Linked DNA regions of Saccharomyces cerevisiae S288C. The protein of the gene in region 2 interacts with the protein of the main gene of each other region in a biochemical or structural test. Each region holds a gene or a part of one and is shown on either strand. Other genes may lie near its edges. The genes, in order: ORM1, NPR1 and LDB19.

Region 1 (5,130 bases), on a different chromosome or scaffold from region 2:
CGTTCTGCATGGTTTTGATTATCTTCTTTTGCACGATGTCACATACTTTTTCGATTACCGTCGCTTTACACAGTAACTGTTTAAAACGAGCGTTCTTAATTAATAACTGTAGGAGAGCAGGCTTTCGGCTTTCTTTATGAGAAATAAGGACTACTCCAGCTTGCCAAGTTTTATCCAGTTACACAAACGCTCAAGATCGCCTCGCTAAAATAGATGAAAAAATAAGAAAAATGAAATGTTCAACCTAATCCCTTTTGGATTTATCATTGAAAGATCGCTGATTTATTCTTTTCCAATACGCCTCGTAATTCTCTTTCAATGTCAAAGGCGCCAGATTGTAAGAATCTGTCATGTAAAATAATCTGACAATACGTAGTTTTAAAAACCAATTGATTAAACCAAGCTCTCTTATGATGCCAACTATAAAAAAATAAAGTGATCCAGTCAGTGCCCCCACGCTGAATCCCACGATTACTTGATCTAAATTGTGGTAGTGCAAGTAAACTCTGGAAAAGCAAACGCAAAACGATAATAAAGCCAATGCACCAGAAAAAATGCATTTTTCTAAGAAGTTTAGATTCTTCCAGGAAGTGTATATCTTCAGAGAGTTATAGGTAAAACAAAACCCCATGAATTGGGAGTGTGCACTGGGCATCCCGTAACCGGATCTTATAGTGTCATTTTGGAACGACGCACCGAACGATACGGGGCGTGGCTGTTTTATTATATTCTTGATCACGTTATTGAATATTTCGTTCATCAATTGGCCAAAGGCTACAATGCAGGCTTCTAACTCTCTTGTGATGATAAACCACGACAAATAAAAAGCTAGCACTAGGATGGGCATCAGCGAGAAATATGCACTAAGGAATGATAGAAAGTCATGCGAATCATAGAGAATGTATGTGTCATCGAATGGTATAACATTTGGATTTGGATTTATTGCAGCGGCGGTACTATTCATGATATGATCCGATTCAAAACAAATTTTGATGTAGATAAAATGCCTGGTATAATGAGTGGTAGAGAAGAAAATTAGACGAAAAGAATGAGAACGAAGAAATGATTTAAAGTGATCACAGTGGCAATCACTTTCCCCTTTTTAACGCGTGTTGAGCAATCGATTGATGTCTCTACCATATGTAGCATTTTCTCAGAAGGCAAACTTTTCTTTTTCTTTCTACTTTTCCAACAAGAAATTTTAAGTTTTCCCAGAAACCCGAATTCTCCTATTTCATCCACCACGTAAGAACGGTTTTCTTCCTGGCGTAATTAAAAGCATAAAGAAAAACTGAACAAGCTCTAGATGTAGATCAGGGTATACATGGTGCGCTTCAGTAAGTGTACTGTACCACTAGTTTGGCGTCTGTCACTTGAATTGCGGATTTGTGTAGAGCAATGAAAGCGCTGCTTCTGCCGCCATCAAAAAAAACTGAGTAGTTATTAAAGCCTATGTATGACAATATAAAAATGTATACAGATCAGTCTGTATATAAATCATGAAAATATCTTTAAAAATTTCAAGAGCGTGTTTCCGCTAAACCTTGTCATATTCAACACAAATCAGTATCATTCTCGGCGTAAATTACATGCGAATCTCCCTAATTGTGATTCAATATTCCAGCGAACCCCGAGAATTTAAATAGAACAGAGTATATGCATTTATTAACAGTTATTACGCCTTGTCCCCAGGGAGAGTAGTAAGGGATATGGGCATTTATAAATGTACATAAGTCACGTTTTTGCAGCCAATAAAATATAATAATAGAATAGTAACAAGGAAAGCTAGGCCAAAACTCCTTACATGGAGCTAGTATACCCCTTTTCTAAGAGGAGTACTTGGCAATCAGTTGATCAACAAGGGCAATGTATTCCTTTTCGGCATCTTCCTGGGATTTACCTTTTAAGTTTTCCCAGGCTTCCCACTTGTAGCGGTCCTTCATGTTGAAAATACCAGGCTTTTCCTTGTCGTTGTCACCTACAGTGGCTTGCTTGTACAGAGCATACAATTCTAATAATTCATCAGTGGAGGGCTTCGTTGGTAGCTCGTTGACGGCTTTAGCTTTTTCTTCGAATAATTGGGAAACCATTTTGCTGAAAACACTAGTTTAACTAATTTTAGAGTTTTAGTCTTCCTTCTTTTGCTTCACACAGTGAAATGATGTACATAACGTACTTGCTTCCGAGACAGACCAATTGATCCAAGCTAGCTATATATATGGCGGTCATTGGGGAGTTGGCCTGGAGCTGTTGAGTTTGCGGACGTGTCAGAGAGCGCGTAGGGCCGCCAGCGCCACCTGTCTTCAGGCACCAAGGCCGTAATCTCTTCCGACGGTCATTTTTTAATGGAATGTTTCAATACGAGAGTTTGTGGCATGTAGTTTAGGAACGGATTATAGAGAATAGTCGAAATATGTTTAGTCCCTACACAAATTGCTAGACTACCTGTTTCGAGTTTCCTCTATTCCTTTGCTAACGGAGCTGCGGTATATAAACCATCGTAGACTCAAAGCCGTTACCCGACAACTATCGGGTATAGTGAAATGCCTATGTTTTCACTTTAAGACCTTAGAAAACTATCATGAGATCTCGCCTTCAGATGCAGATATTTCAGTGGATTCACGAAACAAGAAAAATTCACTGATCGATAACATCTTCCTTTGCTTGATATTCCCTTTTTGAATTTCCCTAACTACCTTTTGTTGTTTACCACATATTCTCTAAAAAGCAGAGTTATTCTTATTTTGTATTTCATTGCATTTTTATCCATTTAGTTAATGACCGAATTAGATTATCAAGGAACTGCTGAGGCGGCTTCTACCTCGTATAGTCGAAATCAAACGGACCTTAAGCCGTTTCCTTCTGCAGGCAGTGCATCTTCATCAATTAAAACGACGGAACCTGTGAAAGATCATAGAAGAAGGCGTTCTTCCAGCATAATTTCACATGTGGAACCGGAGACTTTTGAAGATGAAAATGACCAGCAACTTCTACCAAATATGAATGCTACTTGGGTAGACCAACGCGGCGCTTGGATTATTCATGTGGTCATTATCATACTGCTGAAACTATTTTATAATTTATTTCCTGGTGTTACCACAGAATGGTCGTGGACTCTGACTAATATGACATATGTTATTGGGTCCTATGTCATGTTCCATCTGATTAAGGGTACCCCTTTCGATTTCAATGGTGGTGCTTATGACAACTTGACGATGTGGGAACAAATTGACGACGAGACTTTATATACTCCTTCAAGAAAATTTTTGATTAGTGTCCCGATCGCCCTATTCTTAGTTAGTACTCATTATGCTCACTATGATTTGAAATTGTTTTCATGGAATTGTTTTTTGACAACCTTTGGTGCTGTTGTCCCAAAGTTACCTGTTACTCATAGATTAAGGATTTCTATCCCAGGTATCACAGGTCGCGCCCAAATTAGTTGAACATAGTTTATTTCAATCTTGTATCTAGATGTTTTTGCTATATTTATATTTTCTGGGCCAAATCACTAACGCTTTGAAATTTCAAAAGCCAACAACGGATTTCGGACTTCATTTATGTAAATGAAAAAGAATGTGAACAAAAATTGAAAAAATTCCATATTAATGCACCTTCTAAACCTATTTGTTGAAATTGTATTTAATTCATATAATCATATTCTATTCAAAAAGAATAACAGATAGTATTAGCACTATTTCACGTACTGCTTCTAATACTATTATCACAAAATAGACATCGGAAAACTCAAAAATAACGACAACTGCAGGACTCGAACCTGCGCGGGCAAAGCCCAAAAGATTTCTAATCTTTCGCCTTAACCACTCGGCCAAGTTGCCAATGTATACATTGCTGTTTCCTGGTTTGAAGAAGCTAATCGTGCACGTAAACAACAATCTATACTACAAGTAAAAAAATGGGGAAAAAGATGCTGAAGGTGAGATATATGTGGGTAATTAGATAATTGTTGGGATTCCATTGTTGATAAAGGCTATAATATTAGGTATACAGAATATACTAGAAGTTCTCCTCGAGGATTTAGGAATCCATAAAAGGGAATCTGCAATTCTACACAATTCTATAAATATTATTATCATCGTTTTATATGTTAATATTCATTGATCCTATTACATTATCAATCCTTGCGTTTCAGCTTCCACTAATTTAGATGACTATTTCTCATCATTTGCGTCATCTTCTAACACCGTATATGATAATATACTAGTAATGTAAATACTAGTTAGTAGATGATAGTTGATTTCTATTCCAACATACCACCCATAATGTAATAGATCTAATGAATCCATTTGTTAGTTAATAGTTTAAATGTTTTTATCGGAAGAGGTTTTGTCATCACATCAGCAATGTTCTTCTTGGTCTCGATGTAGTATACGTATAGATTATTACCTGATACTTCATCTCTAAGTCTCATTGCCTTTGTGCCAAAAAATCTGTTTCTAAATTTCTCTTCATTTGTAGACTTAATTATACTGATCGTTGATCTACTATCAGTAAGTAAGCCTTTAATAATTGGTTTCTTGTTAAGTTCTTGCACAAGGTGACTGAGGTTATTCAATAGCGGAATAGCTTCACTGACTGCGTGTATTTCTGCTTCTGTAGTTGAAGTGCATGTTAACGAAGCCTTTGTCGACTTTCCTCCAATCACTTTTCCGTTGAGTAGGAAAATGTTACCAATTTGTGACTTGTAATATGGTTGGTTACCATATGAAGCATCGCTTATTGCGACTAGTTTATTATCTGGCTCGGTAGGTTTGTTTTTGTGCCATATCAGTTGTTTATCTCTAGTGTCCCACATGAATTGTATTAACTCATATGTCATGTCTAAAACTTGCCTAGAGGGGAATAGTATATGTTGAGCAAGTGTGTTGATGTAGTATAGTAAGTCAAATCTAAATTTATATCCAACATATGAAGCTAGACCAATCAACTTTTGCATTTCATGTACCTTCTCTTTGTATTCATCTTCATCTATTTCTAGTTCATCCTGGTCTATATAAAGACCTGGTTGACCTGGAGCGCTAAGTTTTCTTCCTTTTGGATTCAAAGGTACGTTTAATTTGGGTATTTTCTCAGTTAATGAGTTTTCCATACCTAATTTCATGTATTTAC
Region 2 (6,773 bases):
TTTAATGGAAAATAGTACAGTGGAAGTAAATCGGTACGAACCAGTAAACAACACCAAAGAAAATGGAAACAGGAATCCAAAGGGAGAGGAGGAGGAAGAAGAGGAAGAAGAGCTGAAACATAAATCTAGGTCAATCACCCCTCCGGTTACAATATCAAATCTATCAAACTTTTACCAATTCAATGAAAATATCAATGATCGTGGTTCTTTAAACTCTACTAGAATTGTTAAAAATTGGGGCGACAAATTCACCAATTTGAAGCCTCGTGGCCTTTTGAATCATGGTGTTACTTGTTACACAAATGCTGCTGTACAGGCTATGTTACACATTCCTTCGATACAACATTATCTTTTTGATATACTAATGGGGAAATACGATAGCACCATCTCAAAAAATTCCGTTTCCTATACTTTAGCTGAAACAAGTAAAAAAATGTGGTTACCGGTCTCAAAAAACCCTAGAAAGAACGTTTCAGCTTCCTACATTAATCCAAAACATTTGATTTCCAGATTGGATGACATTAATTGTATGATGAGCGAATGGCAGCAGGAAGATTCACATGAGTACTTCATGTCTCTGATGTCAAGATTACAGGAAGATTCTGTTCCCAAGGGTCATAAACTTATAGAATCGATAATATATGACATATTCGGTGGTCTTTTAAAGCAGATCGTTACTTGCAAATCTTGTGGCAGTATATCTAAAACAGAACAACCATTTTACGATTTATCGTTGCACTTGAAAGGGAAGAAAAAACTTGATCCAAATTCTGACCTGTCGAGTGATAGCATTAACGGCACTTCAGCCACCACTTCTACCACTACCTCCAATGCTGCCACAAAACCATCTCTTTCATCCTCTTCATCTGTCAATTTAAACAATGGCTCACCATTTGCCGCTGCCAGTGATTTAAGTTCAGCCAACCGCAGATTTTCTATTGAAAAATCAATTAAAGATTTCTTCAATCCCGAATTAATCAAGGTTGACAAGGAGCAAAAGGGTTACGTTTGTGAGAAGTGTCACAAGACCACGAACGCCGTGAAGCATAGTTCAATATTAAGGGCTCCTGAAACTTTACTTGTGCATCTGAAAAAATTCAGATTCAATGGCACGTCCTCATCAAAAATGAAGCAAGCTGTTTCTTATCCTATGTTTTTAGATTTGACGGAATATTGTGAGAGTAAAGAGCTACCTGTCAAATACCAACTATTAAGCGTGGTGGTTCATGAGGGCCGCTCCCTTTCTTCAGGTCACTACATTGCCCACTGCAAGCAACCAGACGGTAGCTGGGCCACTTACGACGACGAGTATATTAATATAATATCTGAAAGGGACGTTTTAAAGGAACCCAACGCATATTATCTCCTATACACGAGGCTAACTCCAAAATCGGTTCCATTGCCATTGGCGAAATCTGCCATGGCCACTGGTAATGTTACCTCTAAATCCAAACAGGAACAGGCTGTTAACGAACCAAATAACCGCCCATTGAAGATTAATAGCAAGAAAAATAACAGAAAAAAATGGAAAAAAAATAAAAAAAGGAAGTTCACCAAATGAAAAAACTCGATATTCCTGGATTTTCCTCTTTTCATAGGCATTTTTATTAGCATTTCATTTTTATTATACCAAATCAATATATACATATAAATATCCGGTCTTTATTGACTTATAAAACAACTCTCAGTATACAGAGTTGGAGAAGCGTTTACTCAGAATAGCTTCAGTACTACCGAGCTTTGCTAACATAACGGGAGAAAGAGAATTTAAAACTTATATACATATTTACAGAATAGATCAGTAGAAAGAAGAAGGAAGGTCTGTTGAAAATTTCTCGAAATTGACGGTACTTTTTTGTCTTTTCACTACTTACAGATCAAGGTACAACCTTAATACCCATACTTTTTGCAACGCCAACTATTGATTTAACAATACCTTCCATCTCCAATAAACTATGCCTTTCATCACTCTTTTTTATCTTGGCTATTTCGTAAACGTGCTTCAGCGATAACTCTCCTAAAGCACGGGTTGGTCCCTTGGCAGGTGCACTGCCTAACATTGTCCCCACATTCGGTTGTCCATGTCCCTTGTCCATTTTAAGAGCTTTTAGCAGCAAATATCCGGTTGGTGGAGATTTCATTTCAAACGTAAATGTTCTATCAGGTTTTATTGTGATTAATACTGGAACCGGTACACCTGGCTGATAGTTTGCTGATCTTGCATTAAATTCCTTACAAAAGTCAATGGCTTTTATACCCTTGGAGCCCAATGCGGGCCCCACGGGAGGTGATGGTGCCGCTTGGCCTGCTCCTACTATTAGCTTTACTATCACGTTTTTTGCTGCCTGTGACATTATGGAGACTAATAGTTCCTCTATGGTATTCGAGAGTTCGAAAGTACAACAAACAGAAATAAATACAGAAGGTTACGCTGTCGATTTGAATGTTCACGCTTTTTTTCCTTCTTATGAGTTGTAGATTTACTGCACTTTCTAAAGCTTCTTTGCTGTGAAATTTTAGAAAAGGGAATTGTCGCCTTGGTAAGACAATTAATGTTACCCGCTTCATTATTATTAATTAGTGGCGCGATATTTTAACGAACTTTTCCATTAATTATTATCATACTAAGCTTTTACATTTTTCTGATAAAATAGTAGATTATGAACAGGAGGTCAATCTATTTAGGCTTCTATAGAACGGTAAAATATGAAATTAGTTTAACAGAAGTAAATATGACATTGTATTTTAACATATACTCAAATAGGATAAAAAAAGGTTATATACAAATGCTTGGAAAAGAAATAAAAGTGGGGACGCTTATTTATTGATTATTTTGCTTTTTCTTTTTCTTTTCTAGGCCTGCAATATGTGCTTCACTTTGATCCACTTGTGTGTGATGATGGTCTTCTCCTCTAACCACTTTGAACGATAATCCATCTTCAACCAAGTGGCACATATCAATGCTACGGATCCAAGGATCTTCCATGATTTCTTCGATATTTCCTCTGCATGCGGGCGCCAAATCAATCATACGTCCAACAATATGCTGAGTCTCTTCTGGTAATGAGTGCAACAATCTTTGTGGCCCGATATTAACATTATTAGGATCTGATACATTATTGGAAGAGCTTTCGGGTTTTTTCTTTTCTGTTGAGTGCGATTCATCGTAGGAAGGTGGATCAGGAGTTCTTGTAACCAAGCTACTTAAGGAGTCGCAATCACGTCCGGAACAAAATAGTTTGAATGAATTGTCCCTTAATTTCGGAATTTTCCATGGAAATTTCTTCAGTATCATACATGCAAAAATGATTGCAGAAGACCAAATATCTACGGGACGTGGGTCATACTTCGCAAATATACAGACTTCAGGTGCTAAATATGGATCACTTCCAACAATTCCACTTGCTTCCACAAGATTTTTTGAGAATGGATATGAAAATACCACAGCAGCACCAAAATCGATTAATTTTACAATACCTTTTTCGTTTATAACACAATTATCTAGCTTTAGATCTCTATGAGCTAAGCCGATACTATGCAAATATTGTACACCAGTAAGTATTTGTTTGAAGCAACAACAAATCTCTTCATAGGACATTTTATTACTCATTACAATAGCAAATAAATCGTATTCACAATATTCCATAACTTGGAGAATTCTATCATTTTCATACACGATTTCAATTGTTTCAATGATATTGGGATGATTCAAAGTTGTACCAATACAGTATTCTGATGTAATTTTCTTGACATAATCTCTTTTGGATTCATTTTCAAATTTAGTTCTAAACTCCTTCACTGCAAATATTTTGTTATCTGAAATTCTTTGAGCTAATTTGACAGAACCTCCTGCTCCAGCGCCTAAATCGGCACCGGTTTTGATGTACCTTTTTGAGAACGGAATTCCTGAACCGCCGTGACTATGAGAATAAATAGTATCTCCATTTCCGTTATAACTAGTGGAATATGAGTTATTCCCTGCGGCAAAATGAGACGATGAATGAGAGTGTGACGGAACGGCAATTCCGCTAGAAAGAGGTGATCCGTTCGGGATCACGTTGTTACTATTCGAGGAAAGGTTACTGTTAGAACTTTTTTTGAAGAACCTCTTTAAATCACCGATGGAAGAATGTTGTGACCTTGGAACACTTTGACTTGGAGGTAAGTGGTCATGTACAGATGAGGGGGAACCGTAAAAGTTATCAGTATAGGAACCAGTTGGCTGTCTTGATGCAGAATATATGCTGCTTTGTCTTGCGCGGATAGGCTTCGGGATAGGCGTCGAACCATTGGTAACATTGGGATTCTTAATGTTTGGAGAAGGACCATTGGAATTGGCAGAAAAAGACATGCCTGCAGAGTTAGAATTTGAAGATTCTTTTGAGTTTTTGGAAAAGAAAAAATTCCCAAGCTGTGAAGAGAATGAACCTGAACGGGATATAGATCTTGATTGAGTGGCATTTGCATTATTACTATCCATCGATGCTTTTTGGAGTTTTTGTTTGGAGATAACAAAACGTGGTTCCACGCTATCTACTTTTGGGGAGGATATAACATTTGAATCGATTGCAGAAATATTATTGGGCATACCGCCTGCATATGTTTCGAGCCACGAAGAAGACAAAGAGGAGCTGTTGCTATTCGAGCTATTGTTATCTTTGTTAGAATTTGGCACGGAGTAAGGTATACTTGATGATAAAGAAGGAATGGCCCTTCCTGAAGTATGTGACGTGGTAGATAATCTACTTGTGATTCTGTTCTGTGCAGCAAAAGAACCACCATGTGAGGAAAGTCCTGCAGTACCTTGATCGTTTATTAAGGATCCAAATCTATCTCTACTTTGTGCACTTGTGCCGTAGAATGATGCAGTGTGAGCAAAGTTTGCATTAAGGAAGCTGGAGGAAAACTGATTCCTATCGTCGAGAGAGGAACCGGCTGTTGATGATGAATCTTCCTCTGAGTATATTTGAGTAACAGTTGTGACACTGCCAGGAACTGGCACGTTAGCCCTATTACGATCACTACTGCTGCTATTACTCACGCTACCAATATGACTACTACTCTTATTCCTAGAGTGAAGGTCAAGCGATTGTGACTCGGGCGTCGTGGTCAACGTATCAGCAGAAGTTCTCGGTGATGAGTTCGAAGTTTCATTTTTTCGTTTTTCCTGTAGCAATCGAGTTAATGAAGACATAATGTTTCGTAGAGCTTTCCTTTTTTGTTTGAATGGGTATGAGCTGTTGGAAAATCAGAAATAGGAAAGAGTTAGACAAAAGTATTAATGAGTTCTGGTACAAGCCAACTAGTTTGTATGGGGTTGAAAATGACGCAAAGGAACGAGAACTCCTGTTTATTATTCTTTCAATAACAAAAGCAAGATTTTTAGTCACTGCCGATTGTTGCCACTAGGTACGCCACTGACTAATCCGTACTAACTCTATACAACTAAAGGCGGCCCATATTCTGAGATAAGCTATAAGGGTAGGAATTGTGGGATGCGTCATTGATAACGAAAAAATTCCGTAATAGATGATCAGTCAGATTGAGAATGAGATGTTTCGCACAAGTGATGAATTATATCTATCTATGCTGTATATTTTAATAACATTCCTATTTTATTGTACAAAATGCGCGACTATTCCGTTTATTGCTTGTCAAGCATCTGTTGGTGTTCCTCGTACAGCTTTTCGTGCATGTCACGTAACTCCTTGTAGGCATGAGTTAATGCTTCTATGTTGGTCTTAAGTTCTGTAATTTCCTCATCTTTAGCGGCATTGCTGTCTAAAGATGAAGTGGCGTCGATTTTATTGTCAATCACTTTTACATTGCTTGACACCTTACCGATATGTGAAAATATCGATTCTTGCGTTTTGACCTGCTCCAAATAGGCATTAAAGTCGTTAAGTGGTAATGCGAGGTTAGGATCTGTCTCTGCTTCTGGTTCTCCTATCTGATACCAAATATCGTGTAAATGGCCTTTGTTTTTACCATCAAAGATAACTCTTTGTAAGTTTGGTATCTTCATAAAATTGTGACCATTATTATTACTAGGTTGTTTGCCTTTGGATTCTCCTTCAAAAAGTAAATTTCCACGTTCGAGTCTGTAAGGGTTGGTTAAGAGATTGGTCACTTCTCCAACTGAATCCTGTGATGTAGTTAAAGTTTGGATAGTTCTAATGATTTGTTTTGAGTAAATTTCCGCAATAGAAACTTTCCCCTCCGTATCACCGATCAATAATAATGTACCATCCATTGATATTTCTAGGCATGACACATTTGAATTTAGGACATTCTCACAGACAAGTTGGCCCATTGCATATAGTGCATCCAAATCTTCATTTTCGCCGCCAGTTAGTGAGTTACGTTGCACTAGGGAAAAAACCCTACCTTTTTGAACTGTGTTTACTCCGGCGGACTGTAGCAGATTAACGATAGCATTACCCTTTAGTTTATAAAATAAATTCAATGAAAAACAACCTTCCGCAGTACCAATATAGCATGCTCTGTCAGCAGGATCCAGTACAATGGATTTGATAGAATAAGGAGTTGTAAATGTCGCAAGCAATACTGGGGTCTTACCAATACTAACGTCATTTTCGTTTGCCTTCTGCTTCTTTTTGCTGCCTATTAAACTCAAATCATAGCATCTAATGGTAGCATCTTGAGATACTGTGAAGAGTTTCGTATCAGTACATGATAAAAATTTTCCTTGACTAGAAGAAACTTGGAAATCTGTCACGGGTAGAGTATGATCGTGAAGGATACATAAAGGC
Region 3 (7,053 bases), on a different chromosome or scaffold from region 2:
ACTACAAAGATAACTGGATTATAGAAATCGTGGAACAAGTAGGGGAAGAAGATCCAACACTACTACACCCGCTATCCACATCTTTCCGTATTAAAAATTCTATACTGGGTTGCTATTTAGCTCAGTCAGGTAAACATTTACCAGAATGGGGTTTCAGGCAAGGTGAAGTTGTCTGTTTAAAACACGCCTCCAAAAGGGATAAGAGAACCTGGTGGAATATCGAAACACATGAAAATGAAAGATTGCCACAGGGAGAAGATTTCGTATATCCGAAGACTTCATTCTTCAGGAATTTCATGCAGTTAAATTCAGCAATGATGGCAACCAATAATGCTTTGGTACCAAACCCTGAAAAGTTTGATGGTATAGCTTCATCTGCCTGGCAATGGCCAACCTTGAACGTCGGGGTAAGATTATGCGAATGGAGTGAAAAATCTATAAAGTACTTCTTATTAGGATCTCCTGCGTCCGTCTGGCCCTCAAGCATCGCAGTTTGCGCACTGATAATACACGTTATATTCTTAACTCTGAAATGGCAGAGACAATGTGTTATCCTATCCGATCCAGTCGAACGTGACGTGTTCGTTATGGCAGCCTTTTATCCATTGCTTGCTTGGCTTTTACATTATATGCCATTCGTAGTGATGTCAAGAGTTGTATACGCTCACCACTATCTGCCCACCCTTTATTTTGCCTTAATGATCTTGTCATACTACTTCGATATGATTACCAAACGTTGGGCTACAAGAAACACTGGAAAATTTCTAAGGCTAGGAGCTTATATTGTATACGGATCAATCGTGATCGCTGGATTTTTTTATTTCTCTCCTTTTAGTTTTGGGATGGATGGTCCAGTAGATGATTACGCGTACTTGGCATGGCTACCTACGTGGCAGATTGTTGAAGATATACGTAACACATAGATATATAGAATGATCAAAAACTTTTCTTCACCACACAAAAAATGTTAATTGATGCGCGAAATATCTTTTTCGACTTATGCCTTCTTCTTTATCATAACAAAGCTATGTACCTACGACGAAATGAAGATATTAATCCAGTCCAGCCTTAAGAAAATACGAGAAAAAAAATGCTCAAGTGTTAAACAATGCCTGTATGTAGTTATCTGTGAAATGCATCAAATCATGGTCAGGGTTTGCTTATTGATCAGATTTGTAGTTTTCAGGTATCTAAGATAAAAATATATGGTAAATACCTTTAACGAATATTATAAAATCTACTGGGTTATTCTATTGGAATCTAGAAAATCGGAAAAGTTTTGTATTCTGATATCTCTTGTGCTATGTGGTGTCAACACATGTCCACGAAAAGGTACACTACCCTGGACACTAACAACACTTTCCAGTGGTGGTGACTGTACTGTGGTAAGGGATCTTTGCGAAGAGGAAGCAGGCTGGTAGTGATGTGCGGTTGGTGGTATCGTTAATTTATTTTGTGTGATCGTTACTTCCTGTACGTTAGGACCAGGTTCGAGCCCTTGGCTCTCATAGTTCCCAATATCTTCATCGCTGCCGCCCACAAAATCATCCTCTGATCTAACAGGAGTACTCATTGTTGAATAAAGTTTATTTTTGATTCCATTATTTATAGAGAGCTCGTAACATGGTGGCGAGAGCAACTCGACATCTTGGTAAATGGGAGGAACTTCTTCGTCCCAGGAGATTCCAAGTCCAGATCTTTCAGTGACTGTTAATCTGAATTGCATTCTTAAAACACGTGCTGCACCAGTGGGAACACTCACTATATTAGAGTTACTAGCACCGTTAGATGCCTTCTCCTTATTAGTACTATGGTTGGACTTATTACTATTCACCGGTGTTATATCTTCAGGCCCCATGCGCCGTACTTTCGGTGTATTTCTATTTGCAAAAATTGGAGATAATTCAGCTAAGCGTTGATCAGGATTATGAACATTCATCGTATTGTTATTAGTTTCTTTCTTGTTTTTGGAGTTTGGTTTCCGTATAGGTTGCCCATTGGCATATTGCAATGTTTCTTCTGCAACAACTATTTCCACTGCCAAGATGTGGCTTACATACAAACCTAAATTTGGATCCTGTATATCGCAAGCCACATTGATGCTGGGCTTCTTATTGCCCGTGGAAGGAGTTTGTAGTGTCGATGCATGCATTACCGGATTAGAGACGCCTGAATTAAGTCCCATACAATCTATTTCTGTAACTAGCTCAATCTTTCCATTATTGTCAAAATCGGTTTTCCATCCACTCTTCATTTCTCCCTTAGATATTATCCGAACCTCTTCCGTAAATAAACTACTGTTGTTTTTTAGCTCTTGTTGAAGTTGTTGTTGTCTTGCGCGTTGTTGCTGCATTAGTAACTCCTGACGCAAAGCGTCGTCACTGGGATGGATGAATTCGCTACCGGGTTGGTCTTCCTCATCTTCATTAACAGGATTTTCATCATCAAGTCCAACATTACCAGTTGACGCTGGACCCGAAGAATTAGGTGCTTGTTCACGACCGGGCTCGCCTGGAAGCCTTTGCGACGGCATATTTTCTAAAGAGTTTACTGCAACCCGGATTTGTGGGCCTAGTTCACCATAACGCTTAATATGACTGCGTGGCTTTTTACTTTTTTCTGACTCTTTTATTTTAACCTGCTCTTCTAACTGCCTCAATTCATGCTTGTGCACTGGACAAGCATGTGCTTTAACTCTTGTAGTTTCTTCAATTCTCCAACTCAATTTACGCATTCGCCATCTCCTATCCCCCGAAGAAACACCGTCTAATTTCATCTCCAAAGGAAAAGTAGATTTAGGATATACAACATTAGGAAGAACAGCAGCAGCAGTTAACTCTGTAGGAGGAAATACTCTTAGAGAATTCTTATCAGGCCCGCGCGGTATACTTCGAGTCACGGCGATGGGCATCGCTAGTTGCAACAACCGCTTCTTAGAAGAGCTTCCTTCTTTCCTGGGAGTAGAATGACCGGAAGAAAAGGAATTTCTATGAGGATCTATATACGTCACAACAGCGATAAGTTCGTATTTGACCTGGGTTTCAGCCGTAGCACCTAGCGATGAAGAACATGGGACAGACCCCGGTATAAGATAGGAAAATGGGTAAGAGTGGCTTCCAACAGAAAGATCCTGGGTATTACTCTGAATTTCCCAGCTTTTCATGTTTGTAATCTTTGTTTTACAGTTCATACAGGTTTGCATTGAGGAAATATTAGGCACAAAGGGTTTATGGAAATGGATCTTCTGTACCAAACTTAGTGTTACCGACGTAATGGTGATCTTGGTATAACCAGCCATTATTCTTAAATTAGCAGGCGTGGGAGAATGCGATATGGATGTAGAAGATGTTGAAGGAGAGATATTTGACGTCGACGCTGACAAGCTGGACAATCTAGATGAAAGTGCAGAACCAAATGTACTCTTTCTTTTTAGGCTTTTAGAAGTAGTCGACACATTAGATTCTGTATTCTTTAAAGATTTATCTTCAGCACTACTGTAGGGATCGACAACCGTCACAGTAAAAAGTCCACTTAGCACAGCACCTGAGGATTCCATAGCAGACCCATAAAGAACACATGGCGGTGATTCTACATCAATAGAAAGGGTTAGTGGAAGACTTTGTCCTTTTTTGTTGCTATTACTGTAGCCGTTATGATTGGACTGATGAGTAGATGTAAGACGTGAAAATGCCATGGTAAAACGTATTGTTTAGTGAAATGTATACTAAGTAGGAGTAAAAATCAGCAATTTCTGGTGTTGAAATGTGAACAACAGCGTTCTCCTCCGAAAAAGCAAGCTATAACGTTGCTCAACTTTTGATTCCGAAATCAGAAGCTTAAATAAGGAAAACTGAAAGCTAATTGGATGAAGCACACAAACTTAATCAACCTTATTATTCAAAGTATTCGGAGCCCTAGTAAAAACTGCCTATGATATGTATGAGTCGTGCTTTTCCGTCTGGTTTAATAAGTGTTCGAGTCAGCTCAAATCGCATTTTTGTCTTGAAGCTTCCGCCAAAAGAAAAAAAAAGTCGTTAATAGCGATACAAGTAAGCAATTAACTATCACACCATAGAATGAGTTGACAAGAGTACTTATTTGATGGCTTTACTGAACTATGTATACACGTCCTTCATACATGGAACTTAGCTTTATCCTAAAAATTTTTATAATGTCACAGTCTTTATATCTAAATCCTTGTGAACAAAAGCTTTGTTACCACCAGCACCAAGGTAGTCACTAGCAACCTGGCCGTCACCTCTTATTTGGTATTGATAACTCACCAGACCGTCCAAGCCAACTGGACCACGGGCGTGAATCTTAGAGGTAGAAATACCCACTTCAGCACCAAAACCGTACCTGAAACCATCGGCAAATCTAGTTGATGCATTCCAGTAAACACCAGAGGAGTCGACACCCTTCATAAATTTTTCAGCGTTTGCTTTATTTTCCGTTACAATAGCGTCGGTATGTCTCGAAGAGTGTGTATTTATATGTTGAATGGCCGATTCTGTAGATGTAACAAACTTGGCAGCCAAATCCAAGGATAAAAATTCCTTATCAAAATCTTGCTCCTCATCAGCATCAACGGTTTTGCATTGAATTGCTTCTGTCAATTTCCCTAACTCATTCAGTTTATCAAAATACGCAGTTTTCAAATCTTTTGTAGCGTGGATAGTCACTCCGCCTTCCAAAGTTAAGTTTTCCAGAACTTCCCACCACTTAGAGAATTTTGGGTTAATCAACAACGTTTCCATAGCGTTGCAACCAGCTGGGTAGTTAGTCTTTGCATCCAAACTAATTCTTTTTGCCTTAATCAAATCTGCGTCTTCATCCAAGTAAATTGAGCAGATACCATCCGCATGACCCAACACGGGAATTTTTGTAGTGTCCTTGATTTTTCTGACTAAGGCATTGGAACCACGAGGAACAACTAAGTCGATGTACTCATCTTGATCCAACAAGTCGGAAACATCCTGTCTGGTTTCGATCAATTGCACAGAGCCCACAGGAACACCAGTCTCACTTTGGAATTGTGCAATGGTGTCGTTAACGATCTTTGCCATTTCTCTGAACGTGTTCACAGACTCTTTACCACCCTTCAAAATTGCAGCATTACCAGACTTGATACTCAATGCGGTAATATTGGCAATAACTTCTGGACGGGATTCAAAGATAACTAACAAAACGCCGACTGGAGCGGTTACTTGGTACAACGTCAAGCCATCATCTAATTCCCTGGCCATTTTAACCTTGCCAACAGGGTCTTCTAGTTCGGCTACATCCTTAATACCTTGTAACATAACTTCAAATTTGTCCCCTTTAAATAGGTCGAGACGTTTCAATAAAGAATCCGCTAGGCCAGTCTCTTTGGCAACAGCTAAATCGATTTTATTCGCTTCTTCAATGGCATGCGCATTAGCCTTCAGGGCATCGTGAATTTTGTATAAAATATCTGATCTGCCCTCGTTTGAGATGGTTTTCAAAATATTCCCTGCTTTACGGGCATTTTTGGCTATTTGTTGTGAACTGGACATCTTTATATTGGTTGCCTGTGCTCCTTTTTGTTCTTACTCTTTTTACCAATACGCTTTTACTTTTTCTCTTCTTTTCTTGAAGCTTTTTGAAAAACGTCTGTCGACTTTTTTCATTTTTTGACTCATTGACCCAACGCCACAAATGAACAAAGAAATTTGGCCACTGCATCGCCTTTCCTGCCCCATTGATTCAAATGTCCATGCGCGTTGATTGATGTGTGATATATATATATATATATATGTATATAGATGTATATTATTATGTTCAGAGGTGATTTTATCTTTGTACGCGTACCATTTTTGTAAAGTGACCTTGTTTTGACTTTTTAACGAGTAAAAAAACGAGTTAACAAATTCTTGACGTAAACGATAAAGCCGCCCATCAAAAGAAATGCAATAATGTCAATGATGAAATACCTATACAGGTAGATGGATTTCGTGTTGTTCTTCGATTTATTTAACACGTTTTTCAGCTCTATCAAACTATCCATTTCCCTTAGAGAGGACTTTTGTTTATTTAATCTCTCTTGGCAAACCTCCATTCTCCTTTCCAATCCTTGTAATTGCGCTACACTTTCTTCGACTGATATCTTTAATTCATTAATAAACGCCTTATTGTCATCCTCGTCAAAGTCTGATTTCAACTTGACCAAGAATTGATTAATCACCGTGGTTCGCAAGGTGGTCATTTCGTCTAATAAAAGGGTTAACTCTCCTGATAGAAGATCATACTTTTGGATAGTTTTTTGAACGTTGTTTTCATTCTTGATTATTGTATCGTTTAAATTTCTTCTCATCTCATTCTCGATCTTCACTAGAAGTGTCGAAATATGATTTTGATAATAATTCAATTCATCAATGTTATCATTCAAATTTGAGTTGCTCTTCGAAATAGAGTTTGAGCTAGAATCAGGAGTGGCTGCGGAGCCATTATTATTGTTCACCTTCAGTACACTCTTGAACCTAGTGGAAGAATCCGCTGACTTCTGCCTATTCAGTAAATACTTAAATCCCAAGGTATCGGTGCCAGGTGCAGTGGAAGAGCCTGATGAATTCCTTGGTTTCCTCTGGTTAGTCAAATATCCTAAAGAGGGATATACACCGTTTAAACTTCTTCTATCCACATCTTCTGAATCTGATGAGGTGGATGACGTGGACGAAAAGGCTGATGACGACAAAAATGCTGGTACATTAGAACGGGAATACAGAAATGACGAAGAATCGTTGACAGCAGAACCGTCCAAATCATGATAAAACAAAGATGTGCTGGGGGAGGAGTTTACGGAAATTTGTGATTGAGAATGCATATTCCCTAATTTAATGCCGCCAGCGGTGGATGAGGGCTCAAACACTACCGACTCCCTCAACGTATCAAATGGGTCTGAATTTCCCAAAGAAGGCTGTAAAAATTGGTTAACCAATCGTTTCCTCTCATAATCAAAAGAACCAGCGGATGATCTACGTTGCGAAGAGGAGGAACCCTGTATTTGATTGAAAGCTAGCCCAGTATGACAGC

Evidence for each region.
Region 1: of the proteins of NPR1 (region 2) and ORM1, one has a biochemical effect on the other in vitro, tested with the Saccharomyces cerevisiae proteins (one study listed by BioGRID).
Region 3: of the proteins of NPR1 (region 2) and LDB19, one has a biochemical effect on the other in vitro, tested with the Saccharomyces cerevisiae proteins (one study listed by BioGRID).

What each region holds. Positions count from the first base shown.
Region 1 is NC_001139.9:557,905-563,034, forward strand, and holds ORM1 (sphingolipid homeostasis protein ORM1), read left to right. Parts: upstream 1-2,777; coding exon 2,778-3,446; downstream 3,447-5,130. Other genes in the region: CAX4 (dolichyldiphosphatase), read right to left, coding at 245-964; long-chain fatty acid transporter ACB1, read right to left, coding at 1,827-2,090. UniProt on the Saccharomyces cerevisiae protein: Component of the SPOTS complex that acts as a negative regulator of sphingolipid synthesis. Acts by inhibiting serine palmitoyltransferases (LCB1 and LCB2) activity.
Region 2 is NC_001146.8:290,316-297,088, forward strand, and holds NPR1 (serine/threonine protein kinase NPR1), read right to left. Parts: upstream 5,195-6,773; coding exon 2,822-5,194; downstream 1-2,821. Other genes in the region: ubiquitin-specific protease UBP10, read left to right, coding at 1-1,561; mitochondrial 54S ribosomal protein uL11m MRPL19, read right to left, coding at 1,878-2,354; YNL184C (uncharacterized protein), read right to left, coding at 2,242-2,568; chromatin-binding/pre-rRNA-processing protein IPI3, read right to left, coding at 5,645-6,773. UniProt on the Saccharomyces cerevisiae protein: Nutrient-regulated protein kinase that promotes the activity of at least 6 distinct transport systems for nitrogenous nutrients under conditions of nitrogen catabolite derepression.
Region 3 is NC_001147.6:917,369-924,421, forward strand, and holds LDB19 (Ldb19p), read right to left. Parts: upstream 3,695-7,053; coding exon 1,238-3,694; downstream 1-1,237. Other genes in the region: dolichyl-phosphate-mannose-protein mannosyltransferase PMT3, read left to right, coding at 1-923; PRO2 (glutamate-5-semialdehyde dehydrogenase), read right to left, coding at 4,167-5,537; FRT1 (Frt1p), read right to left, coding at 5,864-7,053. UniProt on the Saccharomyces cerevisiae protein: May be involved in protein-linked oligosaccharide phosphorylation since the deletion reduces the negative charge of the cell surface.